2 linked regions of the Caenorhabditis elegans genome follow. The protein of the gene in region 1 purifies or fractionates together with the protein of each later gene. This does not show direct contact. Each region holds a gene or a part of one and is shown on either strand. Other genes may lie near its edges. The genes, in order: F36H12.4 and F56D5.9.

What was found.
Region 2: the proteins of F36H12.4 (region 1) and F56D5.9 fractionate together in Caenorhabditis elegans (co-fractionation; one large-scale study listed by BioGRID). This does not show direct contact.

Annotation. Positions count from the first base shown.
Region 1 is NC_003282.8:5,265,306-5,274,164, forward strand, and holds F36H12.4 (uncharacterized protein), read left to right. Parts: upstream 1-3,797; 5' UTR 3,798-3,839; coding exon 3,840-3,851; intron 3,852-3,898; coding exon 3,899-4,057; intron 4,058-4,217; coding exon 4,218-4,253; 3' UTR 4,254-4,321; downstream 4,322-8,859. Other genes in the region: F36H12.5 (Lipoprotein), read left to right, coding at 1,561-1,598, 1,650-1,725, 1,784-2,263; F36H12.17 (Cadherin domain-containing protein), read right to left, coding at 2,835-2,899, 2,959-3,115, 5,121-5,241, 5,395-5,580, 5,637-5,709, 6,447-6,552, 6,948-7,042; F36H12.3 (Major sperm protein), read left to right, coding at 7,566-7,661, 7,832-8,414, 8,460-8,589, 8,637-8,835.
Region 2 is NC_003282.8:9,415,781-9,428,416, forward strand, and holds F56D5.9 (BRCT domain-containing protein), read right to left. Parts: upstream 6,729-12,636; 5' UTR 6,727-6,728; coding exon 6,621-6,726; intron 6,570-6,620; coding exon 6,355-6,569; intron 6,239-6,354; coding exon 4,214-6,238; intron 4,170-4,213; coding exon 4,055-4,169; intron 4,008-4,054; coding exon 3,865-4,007; intron 3,642-3,864; coding exon 3,503-3,641; intron 3,453-3,502; coding exon 3,352-3,452; intron 3,304-3,351; coding exon 2,845-3,303; intron 2,748-2,844; coding exon 2,652-2,747; downstream 1-2,651. Other genes in the region: srxa-2 (G_PROTEIN_RECEP_F1_2 domain-containing protein), read left to right, coding at 7,615-7,750, 7,823-7,998, 8,046-8,384, 8,435-8,635.

The sequences.
Region 1 (8,859 bases):
AAAATTGCTCGTAAACATTTTATAATTTTTTAAAAATTCTTTCTGACACGGCCCCTTTTGACAGTTCATTTGAAAAATTAATGTAACACCATTTACTATATATAAAGCGCTTATTCTGTGTGTCCATAGTTTGTAGTCTATGTAGTCTTTGTAGTCTGTGAAATTTTGGCTTCTGGAGGGATAGTGAGTTAGGGTTAGTGTAGGGATATAGTCGGGGTACTGTAGTGGTACGGTAGGAATACTGTAGGGTTACGGTAGTTTCATAAAAAAATTAATTTTCAGCCCCAGAAGTCGGGGGCCGTACGACGACAAGCACACCTACCACATCAAGGTGATCAACTCATCTGCTCGCCGTATTGGATACGGTATCAAGACCACCAATATGAAGAGACTTGGAGTTGATCCACCATGTGGAGTTCTCGACCCAAAGGAAGCAGTTCTTCTTGCCGTTTCCTGCGATGCTTTCGCCTTTGGACAGGAGGATACAAACAACGACCGTATCACTGTTGAGTGGACCAACACCCCGGATGGAGCTGCCAAGCAATTCCGCCGTGAATGGTTCCAAGGAGACAGTATGGTTCGTCGTAAGAACCTCCCAATCGAGTACAACCCATAGAGCCCTTAGCTATCTCTCTCAATAAATGATTTTTGAAAGATCGTTGTTTTTTCTCTTGTTTAAAATTTTCAGATTTTAAAACGTATCAAATTTGAGTACAACCCGAAGAAGGCTTAATAAGACGTCTCACTTTTTATTTTAATAAAGCTTCTTTGAGGAATTGATGTTTTAGTTGTAACCCTCTGTCATTCTGAAAGCCACAAAATTTCTTCAAAATTTCAAAATGTTCCTGATTATTTTTGGAATAGTTTGAGCATGTAATGTGTTTAATTTAATGTAACGTTTACACCCGCGATAATGCCCTCACCAACTCCCAACCAAATACCGCTACTTAAATGCACATCCAAGTGTCTTCCGACCAAAACGTCAAAAGATTGGAGATGATGGCGGAATTGTAGACCTATCAACTATGCTGCTACTTGGCACATTGCCAATGCTACTTACAGAAGAAAGAAGAACACCTTCTCCCCTCATTCTCTTCACAGGCAGATAGCACATCATCACCAACTCCCCCTCCCACTCTTTAGACTGTACCAACTCGAACAATTCGATCAGCACATTCTCCACAAGCTCCACCATCTTCACCAAACCTGAAAATTTTCAGTAAGATACATTTTTCAGATTTTGCTCTGTTCAGTTTCCTATTGCATTTCTCGTACAACAAATTTTTTGCACAAACTGAAAATTATGGTTTTGCCGCCAATACCTATCAAGACCAATGATTCGGGGGCGGAGAGTTTTTATTTGACATTGGAGCGCAATTTCAAACCATACATATTTTTCCCCAAATACGTGAAGAAATGTATTCTTTATCAGAAAGGTCAATCTTTGGAAATAAAAAAATCTACACGTATTACAGTAGTTTTAAAAGTTTCAAATTTATTCCTCAAGGATAACAGCTTAGATTCAGTCTCTCAAGAAATTGATTGTCTAACTGAGCAAGCATGATTCATTTGGTTTGTGCTTATCACATTTTCGCGATGTAAGTTTGATTAATTTCTGACAATTTGACTGAAATTGTGTCCAATTTCAGAATACTAATGTCGATGACTGTCTCTGTTGGATGCAAATCGAAGGCTAAAAAACCAAAAGCAGCTGCTCCGAACCCGGTAAGTATGAATGGGATTTTATAAACTGAAGTGTATTCAAAAACGGAAATTATTTCAGATAAGCTCGATCTCGTCAAACTCGAAAGTCGCCCCTCCAGCTTCTCCACCACCACCACCAGAAGCTGAAAAGAAGCCGGAAACGGGAGAAGAGCCGAAGAAAGAGAAATCGAAGATGAAAAGTGAAGTGAAGGAACCAGATGCTCCAAAAAAGGATGACAAAACATCAGATGAAAAGAAAGAGAAACAGGAGGATACATTTGATGCTGTCAAACCGAAACAACAGGATGCTGATAGAAAGAAGGAATTGTGTGATAAGAAGAAGGCTGAAAATAAGGGAGATTACAAGACATGGAATAAAATTATTGAAAATAGTGAATTCGATAAGACTTTGAGTGAAAATGATGGAAAGAAGAAGAAAAAGAAGAATAAGGATGATGAAAAGGATGAGAAAAAGGAAGATACAGATGGAAAGAAGGATGAGAAAAAGGAGGATGATAAGGATGACAAGAAGAAGACTGAAGAGGATGATAAGAAATAGAGCTATTGAATATTGAATAAAACCTTCGAAAATACAAATCGTTGTTCTTATTTTTGTCTTTCAGTATCCAAGTTCTCCGTTTTACCTCGATGCAATTGTTGTGTAGCGCCCCTTATCTAAATGTGTGTACCTAATGCCAAATATCTGGCTTAAAACTTTCGACAAGTCTTCCTCAAAAACCGCAGAAAATATATTACCAAATAGCATGTTTAGTGGTTTATCGATTTAAAACATTTTCATCGTCGTTTATTTCAATTTTCCAGAAAACTGCCCTTTTTAGATGGTTTCTCTACTTCACACAAATTATTTATTTAATTCACAAAAGAAAACGAGATAGTGTTGGTAAAAAAGAGACGCAGAAACAGTGAAAAAATTTTTAAATATTCAAATCCTAGGAGGCCGTGTTATTATCACTCGAGTTATAACTTAGATCTCGAGACTTTTTAACCATATTGATTATGAGAGCTGCTTTAAATGTGGAAAAAAATACTAAAATGAAGAGCGATTGCAGAGAAATTATGATAATAAATTTGTATCCGTTTAACCAAGTTATAAGTAGTTTATTAAGTTTTTACTTGAAATAGTTGATAGTAAGTTTTCCGGTCTTTCTTCTTCCAAAATGAATTATGAGAATCACTGAAAAATATATTAGTAATATTTATTAGTAATAAAAATATTTAAATGAAACAACTTACTGCAAACCACGAGAAGCAGAAGCACCAATCCGATGGTAATTGCAACATACCACGTGGCAATTTCTCCAGGAATCCAGAGAGTAAATGTGGTTGTAGTGGATGATTTGATGAACATGTAAACGGTAGTTGGATCTATTTCCACAAGGGAGCATGTTGTCTGGAAAATAAACAATTAATGTTTTAAAGAGGAGGAACAAGGAGAATCCCTGTGTTTTTGACGAAATTTACTTGCAAAAAGATCACCAAATTTAAGGGGATGAAAAATAATTTTAATTTCGCACAATATGGTTGTACATACTATACTAATACATTTAACCACAATTTTACTTAAATGCTGAAACAGTAATGTTTTTGTTTGCTTAAAGGAAAAGTGCACTGAAAATGATGAAACTGCGTGGCGTGTTTGCAGGGATTTTCAGAGTAATACGTAATAGTTTATAATTCTTCGGTTTTAAAAATGGAATATAACTAGCAAATTATTCTCAGAGAAGTTCGGTCAAAGTGAGTAGAACTTATTAATAAGCATTCTGAAACAGTAAAGATAACATTTTTTGGAATTGAAATTTCAAAATCAAAAAATTCGTTTTTTCTTGTTTATTTTGTCACACTGAAATTCAATACAAATTAGAGAAAAGCTCGAAAAATTGACATTTCTTGCGAATTTATGAAAACATTAAAAATTTGCAATAACAATTGACTTTAATTTGAATTCAAAAAAATAAAATTTTAATTTAATTTCTCAATAACCTTTTGAAATTTCACGTGACCTTTTCTCCCTACAAATTCATCTTGTTCCTATATAAGCTGCGCAAAAATCGAAAAACTTCAGTTTTCAACTTTTGGTTTTAAAAATTCCAAACCACTGAAACCAGTTAGTATCAATGATTGCACAAGTGAGTTTTCGCAGAGCCTTTTTTCAGAATTTATGTTTAATTTTTAGATCATGTTGCCAATGATTGCAATTTTCGTGCTACTTGGATCCATAGCAAATTGCGGTGGCAAGAAGAAAGGAGCAGCTGGAGCCGGAGCCGGAGTTGCAGCCAACAGCCCAAAAAAGGCAGATGGACCGTCGAAGAAGGAAACGAAGAAAGAAGGAGATGTGAGTTTAGAAGTACTTGCTGGGGTCTCACGAGCCAGGCACTTGCCTGCCTGTCTACAAGACTGATTCACAAATTTTTCAATGTTTCATTTAAATTTTGAAACGGAGAAAATTATGTATCAGGCAGACCAATTCACTTAACAAAATTTAAAATTTTCAGGACGGAAACTACGAGGAACTCGCCGTCCCACAATGATCCCCCTGCATCCCTGTCTCCCAGTTTCTCGAACTCTACATCTCTAGCAAAATAAATAATTTTTCTGGATAAAACTAACAAGATAAAAGTTATTCGGTGTTTCCCAAGAGTGTTTGTTGTTATAAATTTACTGTTTCTCTACAAAATTTGTAAGCCCTATTTTTGGGAGTTGTCATTGTCATTGCTTGGCCTCCAGAACTTGTTCTAATCAGTTTTCTGTCAATCCTCTTTAATTTTTCCTGATTCGAAAACAACCCCTCCATTGAAGAGTTTGAAGAATATAGAAGTTTTGGACACCTATTGTAGTCGTGAAACAGTTAATTTTTTTTTCATCAAGAAATGATGCAAAACTTTAACTTTCAAAACAAAACTTTGAGGTTTTCGGAGTATCGTTTGGAACTACTCAATATATTAAAATGACAGAATATCTTAGTAAAGACAGAAAAAAGTTATAATTTTTTACAGCCTCATATTCAGGAAAAATGTAAATGTGTGGCATAGTGCAGTTTTCGCCACTCTCAATTTTGAACGTCGACCAAAAATAGGTTTTTCTAGAAATTTAATTTCGTAATCGTTTAAATCCTTCACTGAATTTTTTGAGTGTTTGGAATTTTTATGAGTATCTAGGCAAACGCTCTGAAATTTCAGGTACTTTCAGCTAAATATTGGCATTCCATGGGCGCCCCACTCTTTGCAAGTAAAATAATTAAATTATTGTTCTTAAAACTTTTAATCCTTAGTTGAGAAATCCTATTTCAAAATTCGGTTTTTGAGGATTACTTTAAGCATATTTAAAAACGTTAAATCCGATATTCACCTTTTAGCTTTATGTAATTTTGAAACATTTTTTTTTAGTAAAACGCTTACATTATCCATCATAGTTTTCAGATCGATATCAATTCTATGAGATCCTGCGGCAAGGTTAGAGTAGAAAATGTCTGTTTCTTGACTTTTACAAGGTGACAGATGAATATCGATGGCTCCGGTTCTGAAAACTCTGGACATTATGTAACAAATAATTGAGAGACAGATGAATTAAATTTGTCTAACAGAAATAGTATCTTAAAGAGAGTGAAACATAACAAAGCAATTAAATCAAATATACTAAAAATTGTGTTTTAAGTAAAAAGTAAGAACTTACACAACATCCAAAAAAGCGTGAATATTTTCCATAGTTGATTGATATTTCAGCTCGATCATCCTCATTTCACCCTGTTCAACCGTAAATGTTCCAGTCTCATAAAATGCTACGTGGCTTTCTAACGACGGCTCTGCTCCGTTGATAAGTACTATCATGGATCCGTTGATGGAAAACTGAGATTCAAGTCTGAAATACATCAAAAGATGGAGTTTAATTAAAGAAGAATATTGGGCAAGAAAAACCTTATGATCAAAGGAGATGTTGGTTGTGTTGAGTTGCTATAAAACGCCACGGAAGAATCACAGGAGTAGGCATCTGAATGAATAAAGTAGAAAAATGAGTGAATATGGGTTATGAACTAGTCAAAAATAACAAAATCGCAAACATTTTTAACGTAATTGCAGAGACTTCAATTTTAAAGTTAGCATTACCACAAAATATTAAGATGGATTTTCTGCTCTCCAAAATTTCCTGTTTCAGTATACTGATTTATTTGAAGAAAACACGAATCAACCGATTCAGTTGACAATGGTTTTTTTTACCAAATTTTTTAAAATTTTAAAGAAAACACGAATCAATCTATTCAGTTGACAATGGTTTTTTTTAACCAAAATTCTTAGAATTTCAGAAAGAAAAAACAAATCAACCTATTCAGTTGACAATTGTTTTCTTTTACCAAATTTTTTAAAATTTTAAAGAAAAAACGAATCAACCTATTCAGTTGACAATGGTTTGCATCGAAATCAGGTGTGTGCGGCAAATCTCAAAATTTGCCGAGCTGAATTCCACTCATAGGCAGGGTTAAAGTATGCTAAGATTTAAATTTCAATCTATATGTTATAAAGTGAATGAAAAAACAAAAATAAATCAATAAACTGAAACATGTACCATTCTGTGAGGCCGAACTATTGGTTCCGATTTTCTTCGTTTTTTTTTGTTTAAATTACGTTAAAAGGTATACCCGATTTTTTCGCCAACCCAATAATTATCAGTAATCCGGAAAAGTCAAACTAAACGTTTTTTTTTTGAAATTTCTTGAAATCATATATTACCGTAATACATTTCCATTCGGGGACTTTTCAACGTAATTTCAAAATTTGGGGCGTAGGAAGTCGTGTAGAGTATTCCTTTGTTTTCTGGGCAAAATGTTATGTAAACCTGAAAATGTCTTGCTTTTTCCTTCTTTTAAAAAAATCTGAAGCACTGTCGCAAAATGTTTGAATATTTTAAACTTGAATCAAAAGTAGACATTAAAATTCGAAGAAAAATTTGTTCTGATCGACGACTTTCAAGATTTTGAACACAGATTTTTTCCAATTTTGAAAAAATTATATAAAATTTAGAAACTATGATAGTTGGTCATTGTGGTGCCATAAACATGTCTTTAAGTTAACAATAAACATTCTAGCCTCTAAAAAAGTAATACAGAAACATTTAAAATTTTCAAAAAAACTTGCCAAATTAGAAAAAAAAGATGAAATTTCTTCTTTTTCAATATATAATGAGCTGATTGAAATATGTATCAATGTTATGATTCCAGTCAAATGACTCACCTCCAATGCGTTTTCAGCGTTTTCAGATGTCAAACTAATTTTGACATTATCCTGTAGACTTTGTAGTTTGATGCTCCGAATATAGGGATTGTGCTCTGTAAAAAATAATTTGAGCACGGAATTAGAAATTAATTAGCAAAATTAAAGAAAAAGTTAAAGCTTAAAAAAATTTTGATTGCCGTTTCAAAATGCGTATTTTTTAGACGGGCCTTGAAGCAAAATAATGCTTCGATTTTTGTTTAAAATTTTTACATCCTTATCCTACAACAAAGATGACTTGTAACTTTTTCTTGAATTAGTGAAGATCAAGCAATTCCCCTGGTCTCACCGCGACCGAAAGCTATCGTACTCACTAGAGTTACTCGACATACTGGGGCTACGGTAGCTGCAAAATTTCGATAGTTTCGAAACCCGGTACCGTAAATTTGTGGCCACAATCGCTACTAGGTAACATTGTTCTTCAAATACTTGTTTTCTATCAATATCAATTTCACGTGAACTTCAAACGACATAACCTTTCGAAAAAAATAATAAAAAAACCAAGTTGATGAAGGCTGGATAAATCAGTTCTGATTGTTACAATCGTACAAAATCGAGTAATTTTTCTGTCCAAAAAAGATGGCAATAGAAATCAGTGTCTTCATCGGCATCACCGTTGCTGGATGGATTCTCGTGGGATGTGGTGGAAAAAAGAAAAAGGCTGGAGCTGTAAAGGTATTATTTTACAAACTTTTATGTATGATTCCTGGGACCAAAACTTTCGTGTCCTCGGTAGTATATATACTCTATAGTGGTGAGTATCCGCGTCTGTCACATGCGAGACCCGGGTTCTAACTGGGAGAAACTTCTTTGCACTTTTATCCACCAAAAGCTTTATGTTCCAGTCTTCAACAGCCCCAGCACCGGCTCCGAAAGCCGATAGTAAGATGAAGGCGCCTGAGGAAAAGGAGAAATCGAAAAAGAGTGAAAAGAAAGAGGAGCCGAAGAAGGAAGAGGAGAAAAAGGAGAAATCGAAGAAGAGCGAAGGGAAGAAGAGTGATAAGAAGGAGGAGAAGAAAGAGGAGAAGAAGGAGGAGAAGGAGGATAAAAAGGAGGAGAAGAAGGAGGAAAAGAAGGAAGACGATAAGAAAGATGAGAAAAAGGATGAGAAAAAGGATGAAAAGGAAGAAGATAAGAAGAGTGAAGATAAGAAGGAGGATGAAAAAGAAAAAGATGACGATAAGAAGGAAGACAAGAAGGATGATAAGAAGAGTGATAATAAGGATGATAAAGATGATGAGAAGAAAGAAGAGAAGAAAGATGATAAAGAGGAAAAGAAGGAGGAAAAGAAGGAGGAAAAGAAGGAGGAAAAGAAGGAGGAAAAGAAGGAGGAAAAGAAGGAGGAGGAAAAGAAGGAAGAGAAGAAAGAGGAAAAGAAGGAGGACGAGAAGAAGGTGGAACCGAAGCCTGGAGAGCCGAAACCCCATAGTGAGTTTTGCCAATGAGAGATTAACGAAAACTTGAAATTTTCAGTCAGTATCGAGCCACCCGGTGATCTGATGTTCAAGGCCGATCAGCAAGAGCAGAAGAAGCTGACACTCACAAACACTCATGACAAGAAGATCATGTTCAAGATTAAGACATCGGATAATCAGGTTTATCTGTAAGTTGTATAGTGTGTTATCAGATCTAGATATCCCATTTTTTCAGCGTGAATCCAGTGTACGGTACTGTCGAACCAGGAAAAACTGCTGATCTTACAATCACTCGAAACAAGGCCCCAGCAAAGGAAGCTAAGCTTGTCATTGTGAACAGTGTGTTTTCTGGTGATGATAAGGATCTTGCCAAATCATTCAAGATTGGAAAACCGACTGGAGGACAAGTCACTATCAAATTGAATAGCAAATAAATATTTTTTGTATTGTTTTCCTTT
Region 2 (12,636 bases), 4.2 Mb from region 1:
ACATAAAATCAATGTTGTCTCATGTTAAAGATTTTCAAAGATTTTCAAATAGGTATGATACTTCATTTATGGATAGAATTGTAAACCATATGCCAATGGATGGAATAATTAACATTTTATCACAATTTGATGTATCAAAAATGATATCAATTGGAGAATGTCTTTCAAGAAGTAACTTTGACAAAGGACAAGTTGATGAGGTGTTGATTGGAGCAAAACATTTGAAGTATTTTACATTGAGTGAAACAGAAAATCATGTGAAATCGACAGTCGAATACTTAAATGGAGTTAGCAATTTTATTGATGTGATCAATACTTTGAGAAAAACCACAAAAAAGAACATAACCGAAGAAACAACGTATTTGAACACTTTCAATAAAACAAACAATGTTATTGAGAATAATCTTAAATCAGGAAGAGAAGCTATCAGAACTATATCACATGTTCAAAAAGAAGAAAAGCTTTTACAAACAATTATATCCACAGATACAAAGTTTATGCACCCATTTTGGAACACATGGCAAAGTCAGGGAAAAGGAAAATTACAAAATATGATTGAGGAAGTGAATAAGTTGGAGGAATGGATAAAAAATGAATTCAAGAACAGCTTAACAAGTGTTATAAATATATTTGATGAAGCTTCCAAAGTTCACGGATTGAATGGTGCATTGACAAATTTCATCTCATTCAAAGAAAATGCTACGAATATCAAACAAAACGAAGAAGAAGTAATAATACTGTTCAAAAAATTGGACGATCTTGGATTGGATTTTACCACATTTCGGAAAGAACTAACTTTTGCTACAACGAGCATTCAAGATTTGAGTACATTCCTTGATGGATTGTTTTCGATTAAAATGACAAAAAAGAAAAGATTTTTGAAATCACAGTCAATTCCATGGTACTTCATTGTTCTGATCGTATTTGGATCACTTGTTCTTTTCATCATTCTCTTGATTATCTTGTATTCAATAACTCCAAATGGAAGAAGGAAGTTGAAACGATTTTATTTGAATCGATTTGCATCAGAAGCAGTTACAAATTTGCACTGGAGATATTCAGTGAGTTATTATTCAATTTTCAGTTCAAATAAAATTAATTTCAGTTCTGGATTGATCAAGAAGCTGATAAAAATGCATTATGTGAAGCTGTTAGAGAAATTAATTTCGATCAAGTGAAGGTATTGGTAGATAAGGGAGTGTTCATTAATGTGTACAACAGTAAGAAGATAATCAATCAATTTTTATTTAATTTGATGTAATTCCAGTGTTTGGAAATACTCTTCTTCATGCTGCTGCGAAATATGGACACGTTAAGATTGCTGATTTTCTCATTCGGAATGGTGCTGATAGAGGAGCTTTTAATGTTGAGAATAAGACACCAGAACAAGTATTGGCTGAAAGTGTGCAGGTAAGCTAGATTTTATATATTTAAGCTGTAGTTTCTTGCATTGCTCTACTTTGACGGCTCATATATCGGTTGTCGTTGGTTTCATCAAAAATGTGTAACATTGAAGCAAAAATTTGCCATTTGATAGTTTTTCATTAAGCCAAAGAGAACTGAAATTTAAATTGTCAAAGTGGAGCAAGGGGGTCAGTATTATTTTGAAATACGTTAAATGTTACATTTCCAGACAACAACCAAATTTCTAACATTGACTAGTCCTACCAGTGGAAGTGAAGGAGTAACAAAGAGTAAACTGACAGAAATGGGAAATCTGACGGATATTGAGAAGATTTTTGAGAAGCACAGAGGAAAAGTGTTTAGACAGAGTGAGTTTATCCATCCTTCAATTAATGTAATTTGGGAGTATTTATTTCAGAACTCCCAGAGCTACTTCCAACTATGTCGTATCGTATTCGTATTGATGCTCAATTGACTGGTATTACTTACGAATCATTCATTGAAAGGTACAAAGGAAATGTGAGTTTATGTTCGTTTTGAGTTATCAGTTAAACCCAAAATTTAAAGGTGACTGATCAAATGTCGGGTGTAACTCATTTCATTGTATTAACTGATGCTACTGGTCTTTTTGAATCAGATGATTTTGGTTACATAATGTGCATTTTCTTGCCAACATTAATCATGAAACAGCAGTGGATGAATGACTGTTTGAAAAAGAAATCAAACTTCCGAAATGATTATAAATATCGTGTGGAAAGAGTGAAATACAAGGGAGTCGTGTATGAAACAGTTTTGAAATGGGCCGAATGGATTCACAAACAAAAAATTCCTTTCTTGTTTGGAGTACATTTCCATGTGGCAATCGAGAAGATGTCTGAAAATGAGAAGATGCATTTGAAACAGTTGGTTGAAATGCACGGAGCCACATGGATGGATCAGATGCCAAACAAAGCGAATTTCAATGCAGGATCCCACCCATTCCACCATTTCCATCTCGGACCACTTTTCATTATCCACGAAAAGAAGGTATGTTGCGTAATATTTAACTTGACAAATAATTAATTCCCAGTGCATTTGCTTTCTAAATTCGATAAGAATTCGATTTTTAAGTTATTTTTTCCAGAATAACATGGAAACATATAAAAACGACAAGATGTACACTCTGATGACGTATGATCAATTCATTATTTTCATGTTGAAGTTGGAATGCTTCTATGATCCAGAGCGAAAGGTTCCTATTCCAGTGACTACCGTTTTGGATGAGGAATAATTGAACTACCATTTGAAATAAATTTCGGCTTTTGGTACATCACCGTCACGTTTTTATATGTTTCCATGTTATTCTGGAAAAAATAACTTAAAAATCGAATTCTTATCGAATTTAGAAAGCAAATGCACTGGGAATTAATTATTTGTCAAGTTAAATATTACGCAACATACCTTCTTTTCGTGGATAATGAAAAGTGGTCCGAGATGGAAATGGTGGAATGGGTGGGATCCTGCATTGAAATTCGCTTTGTTTGGCATCTGATCCATCCATGTGGCTCCGTGCATTTCAACCAACTGTTTCAAATGCATCTTCTCATTTTCAGACATCTTCTCGATTGCCACATGGAAATGTACTCCAAACAAGAAAGGAATTTTTTGTTTGTGAATCCATTCGGCCCATTTCAAAACTGTTTCATACACGACTCCCTTGTATTTCACTCTTTCCACACGATATTTATAATCATTTCGGAAGTTTGATTTCTTTTTCAAACAGTCATTCATCCACTGCTGTTTCATGATTAATGTTGGCAAGAAAATGCACATTATGTAACCAAAATCATCTGATTCAAAAAGACCAGTAGCATCAGTTAATACAATGAAATGAGTTACACCCGACATTTGATCAGTCACCTTTAAATTTTGGGTTTAACTGATAACTCAAAACGAACATAAACTCACATTTCCTTTGTACCTTTCAATGAATGATTCGTAAGTAATACCAGTCAATTGAGCATCAATACGAATACGATACGACATAGTTGGAAGTAGCTCTGGGAGTTCTGAAATAAATACTCCCAAATTACATTAATTGAAGGATGGATAAACTCACTCTGTCTAAACACTTTTCCTCTGTGCTTCTCAAAAATCTTCTCAATATCCGTCAGATTTCCCATTTCTGTCAGTTTACTCTTTGTTACTCCTTCACTTCCACTGGTAGGACTAGTCAATGTTAGAAATTTGGTTGTTGTCTGGAAATGTAACATTTAACGTATTTCAAAATAATACTGACCCCCTTGCTCCACTTTGACAATTTAAATTTCAGTTCTCTTTGGCTTAATGAAAAACTATCAAATGGCAAATTTTTGCTTCAATGTTACACATTTTTGATGAAACCAACGACAACCGATATATGAGCCGTCAAAGTAGAGCAATGCAAGAAACTACAGCTTAAATATATAAAATCTAGCTTACCTGCACACTTTCAGCCAATACTTGTTCTGGTGTCTTATTCTCAACATTAAAAGCTCCTCTATCAGCACCATTCCGAATGAGAAAATCAGCAATCTTAACGTGTCCATATTTCGCAGCAGCATGAAGAAGAGTATTTCCAAACACTGGAATTACATCAAATTAAATAAAAATTGATTGATTATCTTCTTACTGTTGTACACATTAATGAACACTCCCTTATCTACCAATACCTTCACTTGATCGAAATTAATTTCTCTAACAGCTTCACATAATGCATTTTTATCAGCTTCTTGATCAATCCAGAACTGAAATTAATTTTATTTGAACTGAAAATTGAATAATAACTCACTGAATATCTCCAGTGCAAATTTGTAACTGCTTCTGATGCAAATCGATTCAAATAAAATCGTTTCAACTTCCTTCTTCCATTTGGAGTTATTGAATACAAGATAATCAAGAGAATGATGAAAAGAACAAGTGATCCAAATATGATGAGAACAATGAAGTACCATGGAATTGAATTTTGTATCCAAATTGTTTCATGCCTGCCCATTTCAAAAAGCTCATCAAGAAATTTGTTAAGAAATGTGACACTCTCTGAAGCAGCTTTGAGTTCTTTGTGGTAATAAGTGAAATCCAAACGAAGAGCTTTAATTCCTTCCATTTGTTCGATTATCTTCTGACTTCCTTTTAAATGTTTCACGTTTTCTTTGAATTCATCGAAATTTTTGAAAACTCCAACCAATCCATGAAAAGTCGCAGCTTCGTCAAATACAATCGCAACACTTGAAATGTCATTATTCACGCGATTTCCCATCAAATAATTCAAATTGCTCATTTTTTCAATAGTCTCGTTTAATTTCTTTTTGCCTTGAGACTCCCATACTTTCCAGAAGTTGCCATTGAAATGAGAAGTTGAACTTAACATACTTCGTAGGAGATTCATCTCTTTCTGGTTAATATGCAGTTCCTCTATTGCTTCTTTTCCAATAAGTAAAGGTTTATTGATTTCTTCGGATTGATTGAACCTATTCAAATACTTGATCTCATCACTTAACTTCTTCAATGTATTGTCTCTAGCAGAGTTCAGCGCCTTCAGAATTTTAGAAAGGTCATCCATATAAGATCCAACCATTTTTGATGCAGATTCTGTTTCAGGAGATTTGAATGATTCAAAATTAAGAAGGTTAAACAGATTATTGTTTATTTTTCCTAATTTAAAGTTTCCAGTTCTCAAACATTTTCCAATGGTAAAAGCTTTTGTCACATTAACTTCTAATAAAACATCATTCAAATAATCAAGAGACGGAGCGTTGATGATACTCTTAACAAATTCACTTCCATCGTAATCACTTATCAATTGCGTGACATTTTCGGACATTCTCTTGATAGACTTGGTATCATTTGGACTTATTTTGTTATATAAATTGGATTGTATTTGACGCCAATTTCCAGAATCGGACTTCATGATTTCCTTAACTTTTACTCGTATATTCTTCAGTTCATCCAAGGTTTTATCTTTCTGCTTTATTATTTTTCGTACTCTTCGAATGTATTTATGTAGTTCAGTGGCAAGATTATCCATATGAATGAATATATTTTTAAATTTTTCATAATCAAAAGATTTCGTGAATGTGGGCAAATTAACAACGCAAGTCTCCACAACGTCTATGATAGTACTCGATATTTCGAAATCGTTCCACTTTTCCAGATCACTGATTTTTACTGACATCAATAAAGCTGCTCTTAAGCTATCCGGATGTTTTAAAACTATCTTCTTCACTTTTTTCATTGTTTTCAAATGATTTCTGATAGGTTCGAGTCCATCATAAAGGGTCTTTGTGTTCTCATCCCCAAGTACATGTTTCAGCCACTTGGAATTGAATACTCTCAACATTCCAGCAACTTCTTTAATTTTTGATTCATAGAGGTTAACTTTTTCGCCAAATAATGTCCTCTTCATACCATCACCAACACCTTTGCTGTTCTTTTTCAAAGCCTTCCTAACTTTGACAAGATTTTGACTGATTGTTCTCAATAACGAAGCAGAAGATTTTACAAATTCACCATTTACGGTAAATTCTTGAACAGCGTCAATAATGTCATCTAATATACTTATATCAGAGTGCCTTTCGTTAAACTTTTTGACGACATTTTTGTATTCGAGACTTTTGCTGAGCTGATCCATGTCTTTTTTGAATAATTCTTCAATCTTTCCGTCGGAGAAAAGAGCAAAGCAAAATGATAATTTTGTTCTATCAATGTCATTCGATAGACAATATTCGATATCATCAAAATATTTAAATTCGGGTGGTTTTAGATCAGGTGGATTTGGCATCTTACTTTTCAACTTTTCAAATCTCCGAATATACGACTGAACTTTTTTTTCGGGGAAAATTTTTTTCGGTGAAAATATGATTCCAACGAAGATAGCATAACTAAGTGGTTCACTACTGTCTTCAATTCTGTAACGTTCGACGGGACTGTTACCTTTCGAATTTCATTGTAAAACTTTGTGAATGCTGCCATCGTTTCATTCGGTTGAAGAGCAAGAAATGCTTGTAGATCAAGTGGCGTTGCTTTGAAAAATGTAGAAGTTTCCAGATCGAAATCATGGAAAAGACGTGCTTGACTTGATATTGCTTTCGTTAGATTAATCAAGGTGGAAACATCATTCATGAAGTTTTCGAGATTTGGCGATTTTACTAAAATGTTTAATTGATAAAAGTGAAATGAAAATAGAAAATTCAACTCACTATCACTTTCAAATGTGGTTTCTTCGGTGGATGTTGAGAACGCTAACAGTCGATTGAAACAAAAAATTAAGGTAATTGCAAAGAGTATACTAATAGCTTTATTCATCTGAAATCAAATGAAACATGCATGATTTTATGAACAAACTTTGCTCACCTTGCATTACCGGAGAAATCACTTCACTAGAAAATCGAAAATAATCAATGAAATGTTTTGTTTATCACTAGGACTAAAATAAGAGCAACAAGCGATTTTTTTCCAAAAAATTCTTCTTGTTCGCAACTGTCTTCACGTAATGTCCAATTTTTTCGATTTTTTTCATTTTATTGTCAAAGAGTAGGCTTAACTTTTTATTTGTATTCTGATTGTGAGCTGAGTTTTCATTTTCCTACTTTACTTTTTTTTGAGTTGTTTACCTGCAAAATTTGTATGATTTTGAGAAAAAGTCCAATTTTCAGAATGACACTTTTCTCGGAGAATCTAAAATTTACAGTGCACATTGTGATGCCAATGATGTGAGGCTCCTGATTTACACATCGAAAACTTATCCCGAATGCGAAAAAGTGAAAGAGATTGCTGACATATTTTTTATCAAAAATCTAGAACGAATATTTCAATCTTTGTCCGTAAGATCAGTTTTTTACTCTGCTTCTTAAAATAAAGTATACTGCTTGTTGATATTCCCACGTAAGAATGTGTCACTATTTTACATTTTCTCCAAGATTCTCAGGAAAATGTGCGCGGAAAAACAAAGTTCTACTTTTTCTCGTCAGTGTTGAGTTCTAAAGCAAATTTGTCATGCACTCGAGCAGAAGCATTTGCTCGACTGATCACCTCACAGTTTGAATATTTTGATTTGTGATATTATTTCTATTTTTCAAACCCCGCAAAATGATATATTGGATAGTTAATCTAGCTCAGCTGGTATTTTCAATTCTCAATTTATTATTTTTAATATTTGACTTCTTTCTGCTATTTTCAGTTTTAAAACTGAAAATGTCTTCCCAATCTGGACCCTTTATCTATATTATTTTTATGACAATTTTTGGAATTTCGGAAAAATTGATAGACTTTCTAATGGTAGACGCCTGGCCTATTTCTGAATGGATCGAGCCTAATGGTGGATATCAGAGTGAGTTGGCAAGATGCTTGATCTGAATTCTGAAACAGTTTTGAAATCATAAGCTCCACAGTCAATTTTCAGAGTATCGTCATGCTGTTGGAACAGAAGTATCTCTGCTATTCACCATTTGTTATTTAGCTCCATTATTTTTGGATTGGATAATGACTTTCCATAGGATGTCTATTTTCATATCACCGATTAAATCATCAAAATGGTTCAGCGACACGAAGGTTGTTGTGTATTGCACTGGGGTTACGGTAGGCTACAGTATTTTGAAACCTATAATACCCTGAAAGAGTTGCAGATTCTCATTACCATTTGGCTTCTGATTCCATATTTTTCAAATTGCTCATTAAACTTCAATGCTTTGACCAGTTACCACGAATCAGCATGTGCTCCGTCTCGTCATCCAATCACTTTATTTCAAAATAACTTTCTTATTTATGTTCCAATTGTGTCAATGGTAGTCAATTCTGGAATTCTAATTTATCAAAAATATCTGAGAAATCGCTGGAAGAGCACTGCCTCGTCAATATCTTTGTCACACGTAAAACGAGAAAATGAAATGATTCGTCAAGCATGTTTTATTGGAGTTTATTTGAGTGTTTATGAGATTTTATACTTACACATGAGGCTTTATCCGGTAAGAATATCAAACAAGATAATTTGTGAAAATAATATAATTATTTTCAGCAACATTTTGAAAATCTTCCCTTCGAGCTTCAAACAATATCCTATGATCTACGTTTGCTGGCAATCAGTTCATTGAACTTTTTTGTATATTTTGTGCTCACCAAATCAACTAGAAAAATAGTTTTAAAGTCATTTGGAAGTGTGAACCATCTACATTTAAGTCAAAGTTTCAGTCATAGTAACGCAAGAATTTTACATTAATTATTTTTTCTGTTTATTGTAATTCTTTATAGTTTAGGCTAAACTGTTTAGCCCAGAAACAAATTACCTTTTAGTATTTTATAAATTATAAAACGTTGTTCTACCAGAGAAAAAACAATTTTATCAACCAGATCTTTAAAATTTTGGAATTCTCATTGTTACTCTGATTTTGAACTCACTTAAAAAAACAATATTAATCTTAATTTTTACATTGAATAAAATATTTCTTCGTTGCAAGTTAAATTTTTTCGCATGACCCAAATTGCTCAGAAAAATTTTGGTGAATGATTACAAAATCAAATGAAATAGATTAAAGAAAGTATTGCTGAAAATCTGGAATAAAAAATGTTTATTGTAATTTTTGGAAAGAAGTCAACAAAGCTCGGGAAAATCATTCGAGCGCTTTCCATTTTCATTAGCAGCGGCTAGAATTCGTGTGCGTGTTCTCTTTTTTTCAGAAAAAAATTAAAAGTTTGAACGTTTGGAATCATTTGCTGGTAAAATCCAAAAAAAAACTCCGGTATGCTGTTTAACATGATAACACAATTCACTGACTCACCGAAATAACCAGTTAATCCCCGAGCCTACAAAATCGTGCTCAAAAATTAATAGTTTCTTTTATGGTTTCCAATGTTTAGTAAACTTTTCTTCGATCATCAAACATTATTTTTGCATAAAATATATGTTTGAAACAGCTTTTATGATTGCGAAATGGTTTAATGATTTCGGAGAATAAAAACTGTTTGTGAATCCATGCCATAAAATCATGATTTCTCCTTCTTGATCGTTTCAATACAAATTTTGAAAACCATTTTCTCTAAGGAAATTACAATAAATTGGTTAAAATACCTCTATGGTTTCCAAACATGCATAACACAGTTCTAAAATTCGTTGAACTTCTGTGTTCGCTGTTAAAAATGGTTGTCTTCCAAACACAATTTTTTTCTACGAGTACTCATATTTGTTTATTTACATTTTCCATTATTTGTCGTTAAATATTGCTCAGCAGTAATGCTAGAAGCTTCCGTTGATATTATCAAAAAAGTTGAAATTATCAAAATTGACTAAGTTCTTACCGAAATCCTAAGAACATCAAATCTTTTTGAAATTTTTTATTATAAGATTCGGCCATTTTGGGCTATTTTTATAAATATGTTTATTTAAAATCCCCACAGACTCTACTCTTCAGATAATATACTCAACCAGTAAAAAACCTTCCTTGGCAGCAGAATTTTTTAGTTATTGAGGGTGGTGGCAAATGTACTTTTTGTTCACTGAACTGTTATTATTACTGAAAAAACCAGGAACTGGTGACACTTGAAAATATTCGAAAAACACACCCGTTTAAACAAAATTCACCCAAAAAATTAGTAAAACGTGTGAGTCCTCAGTGGATGTGTGTGTGTGTGTTTGAATGATTCAATTAATTTTCTCTTCCTCCCTTCTTTCATTCTCATCTTGTCCTTTTCGAACATTTCTTCTCTAAAAATTTCGGCAATTTTCGTGTGTTGTTGTCATTCTAAGGACAACTTTTTGATGCCCCCTCCATCCTCGGGATTTCGTCTCATTCTAGGGAGGGTGGCCCCAAAATAGTTGAAGCGAAACGAATCGAAATTTGATTTTCTGAGCATATGTCGACACCAACTTCTTTCCAATATTGGCCCTTTGCACTTTCTCATTCGATTTGGTGTCTGTGATCCTTTTTTGTGTTGTTGCTTTTTCAGAACAATTAAAATTGTTTTTTTGTTTGTTTTGGAAACTATGGGAACCTAACAGAGTCCGCAGTTAGCATGTCTCATGCCTGCCTATCGCCTACTTTTTGGACGAAATTTTTTTGATGTGCGTCAACTGTAAAAAAATAATAGAAATTGACCCTAAAACGTCTAGAATATATATAAAACAAGATCAAAAATAATCTCATAAATATTCAAATGCCTTCGCCGTGTTTTTATCTATTACATGACATCTTCCTCTCTCGATTTCTAGATCATCATAGGAAGTTATGTTTTTTTTTTAATCAGGAATGTGCTTTGCTTTTTCATAAATTTTTTCTAGAAAATTAAAATACCAGACATTTTTTAACAACTTCCAAGTTCACAATAAGAGAAACACTGGATCATGTCGTTTTTTTAGTTACTTGAATTACTTGAAACTTCACCTAGCAATGAGTACGTGCAAATAATGCAAATATATCATTATTGAGACTCTTCAAATATACTCAACTTATTTATTTTTTGCAGAAAAGGAATGAAGATTCCAATTTTTCCAATTTCTACCAATTTTATTTGAAAAAAATGTTTTATGGTCGGATCAATTAAAAATTGAACAATACTCGTTGTTCCATTAAAATATAAAACGGATTTTTCAACTTTTCCAAATATGTTTTATTTGTAAAATTGTAACACAAAGAAAATATTCAGTTTTTTTAATCTGAAACTTTGTCAAAATGTTAAAATTTTTATTGTAATGAGAAATTTACTTTCTGAAAATACCCAAAGACTTGGGCGCTCTAAAATTTTTTGGAAATCCGTTCAACAATTTCAGCTGTTCAGCAATAATTGAGAAAGTTTTTAAATTGGCGTTTCTTAACATCTTGGCTGTACACAATTTTCAACGAGTTGGATAATTGTATTCGTTTTAGACAGAATAAATGGAATTTTGTAGTCCTTTAACGATAACAACTGACCAAAAAATGTTCTGTTTACAATTTAGAAAAAACCACTCACGGAATTCTAACCTTTTATTCTATTGTTTTAGTGTAGATTGATTCAATTTTAAAGTCTCAGTATTTCCTTTTCGTCATTTTTAGTTTCATTGACCAATATCTGAATATTAAATTTTAAAGCGTCTGTGAACTTTTTAAGTGTTTCTATCCAAGAAAAGTGATAAACAATGCATATTTTTTGGAATTTCTAAAACTCGGTGGTCATCTTGTCTATGAAAAAACTTACATATATTGAAACAGTTCCATGCACAGGGAAATTTAACAATATTTGTTGTTTGCCTTTTTTTTCAATTTTGCAGATTCCAGTAGAAAATTATCAAAATTAAATTATGGGCATCTTTTTAAAATTGATTTCTAGACAAAATAAAGAGCACAAGGTGTTAGTATTAAGTATTTCATAATGAGAAGAGAATTATTTCATAATGAGAAAGAAACTAACATAATTTTTGAAGTATAAAGCTGACTACCTACCGCCTTTTTTCTTTGACTACGGCAAAGATTAACGCGTTTCCTCTTTATCAAATTAGCTTTTGAAGTTTATTAGAAATTTTTAAAAATACGTATATTGTGACAGTAACCCGGCATCTCATAACTTATCTTATAAGACCTATTTGGAAATGATTCTGCAAACTGAGCAGTTGCAATCATAGATGTTTTTCTCTTCCTGTTCTGAATACTCTATGAACATTGTATCGGTTTCTATTCTTAAATGGATGAGAATACTTGTCCCAAGAATGGAAAAAAGAAAACAACTTCTTGTTCAAACTTTTGTTTCTAAGAATTGTTTGGGTTGAGTATTTTGATGATTTCTTCTAAGAAGAATTACCTATAAAAGTCCATTGTGGTAAATCAAAACTTCGTTTTTACTAACTAGTAAGAAAAGAAAAAAAAACTCACTATCAGTCATCTTCCCAATTGAGCTATAAAATGTAATGTTATTATTCAGATGTTAAGTATCACTCAAATTGTCAGTTACATGTAATATTTAGTAGTATTATTTCTCAGATTTTCATTTTTCGAAATTAATTGAATCATTTCAAACGATCGATTTCTACAACCTTCCTGTTCTTAACTCGATGATTTTTCTAATTCTTTCCATTTCATTCTTCTTCTTTTTCAGAGGACAAATTACACTTGAAAAAAGGAATAAAAGGAAATAGAGTCATTATAAAAGCAACACCTTCTCTCTAATACAACTACCACCACTGAAGAATTCAAAAATTCAAATTTGTGAGAATCGAATAATGGTAAGTGCTGTGCATCGGAAATTGAGTGT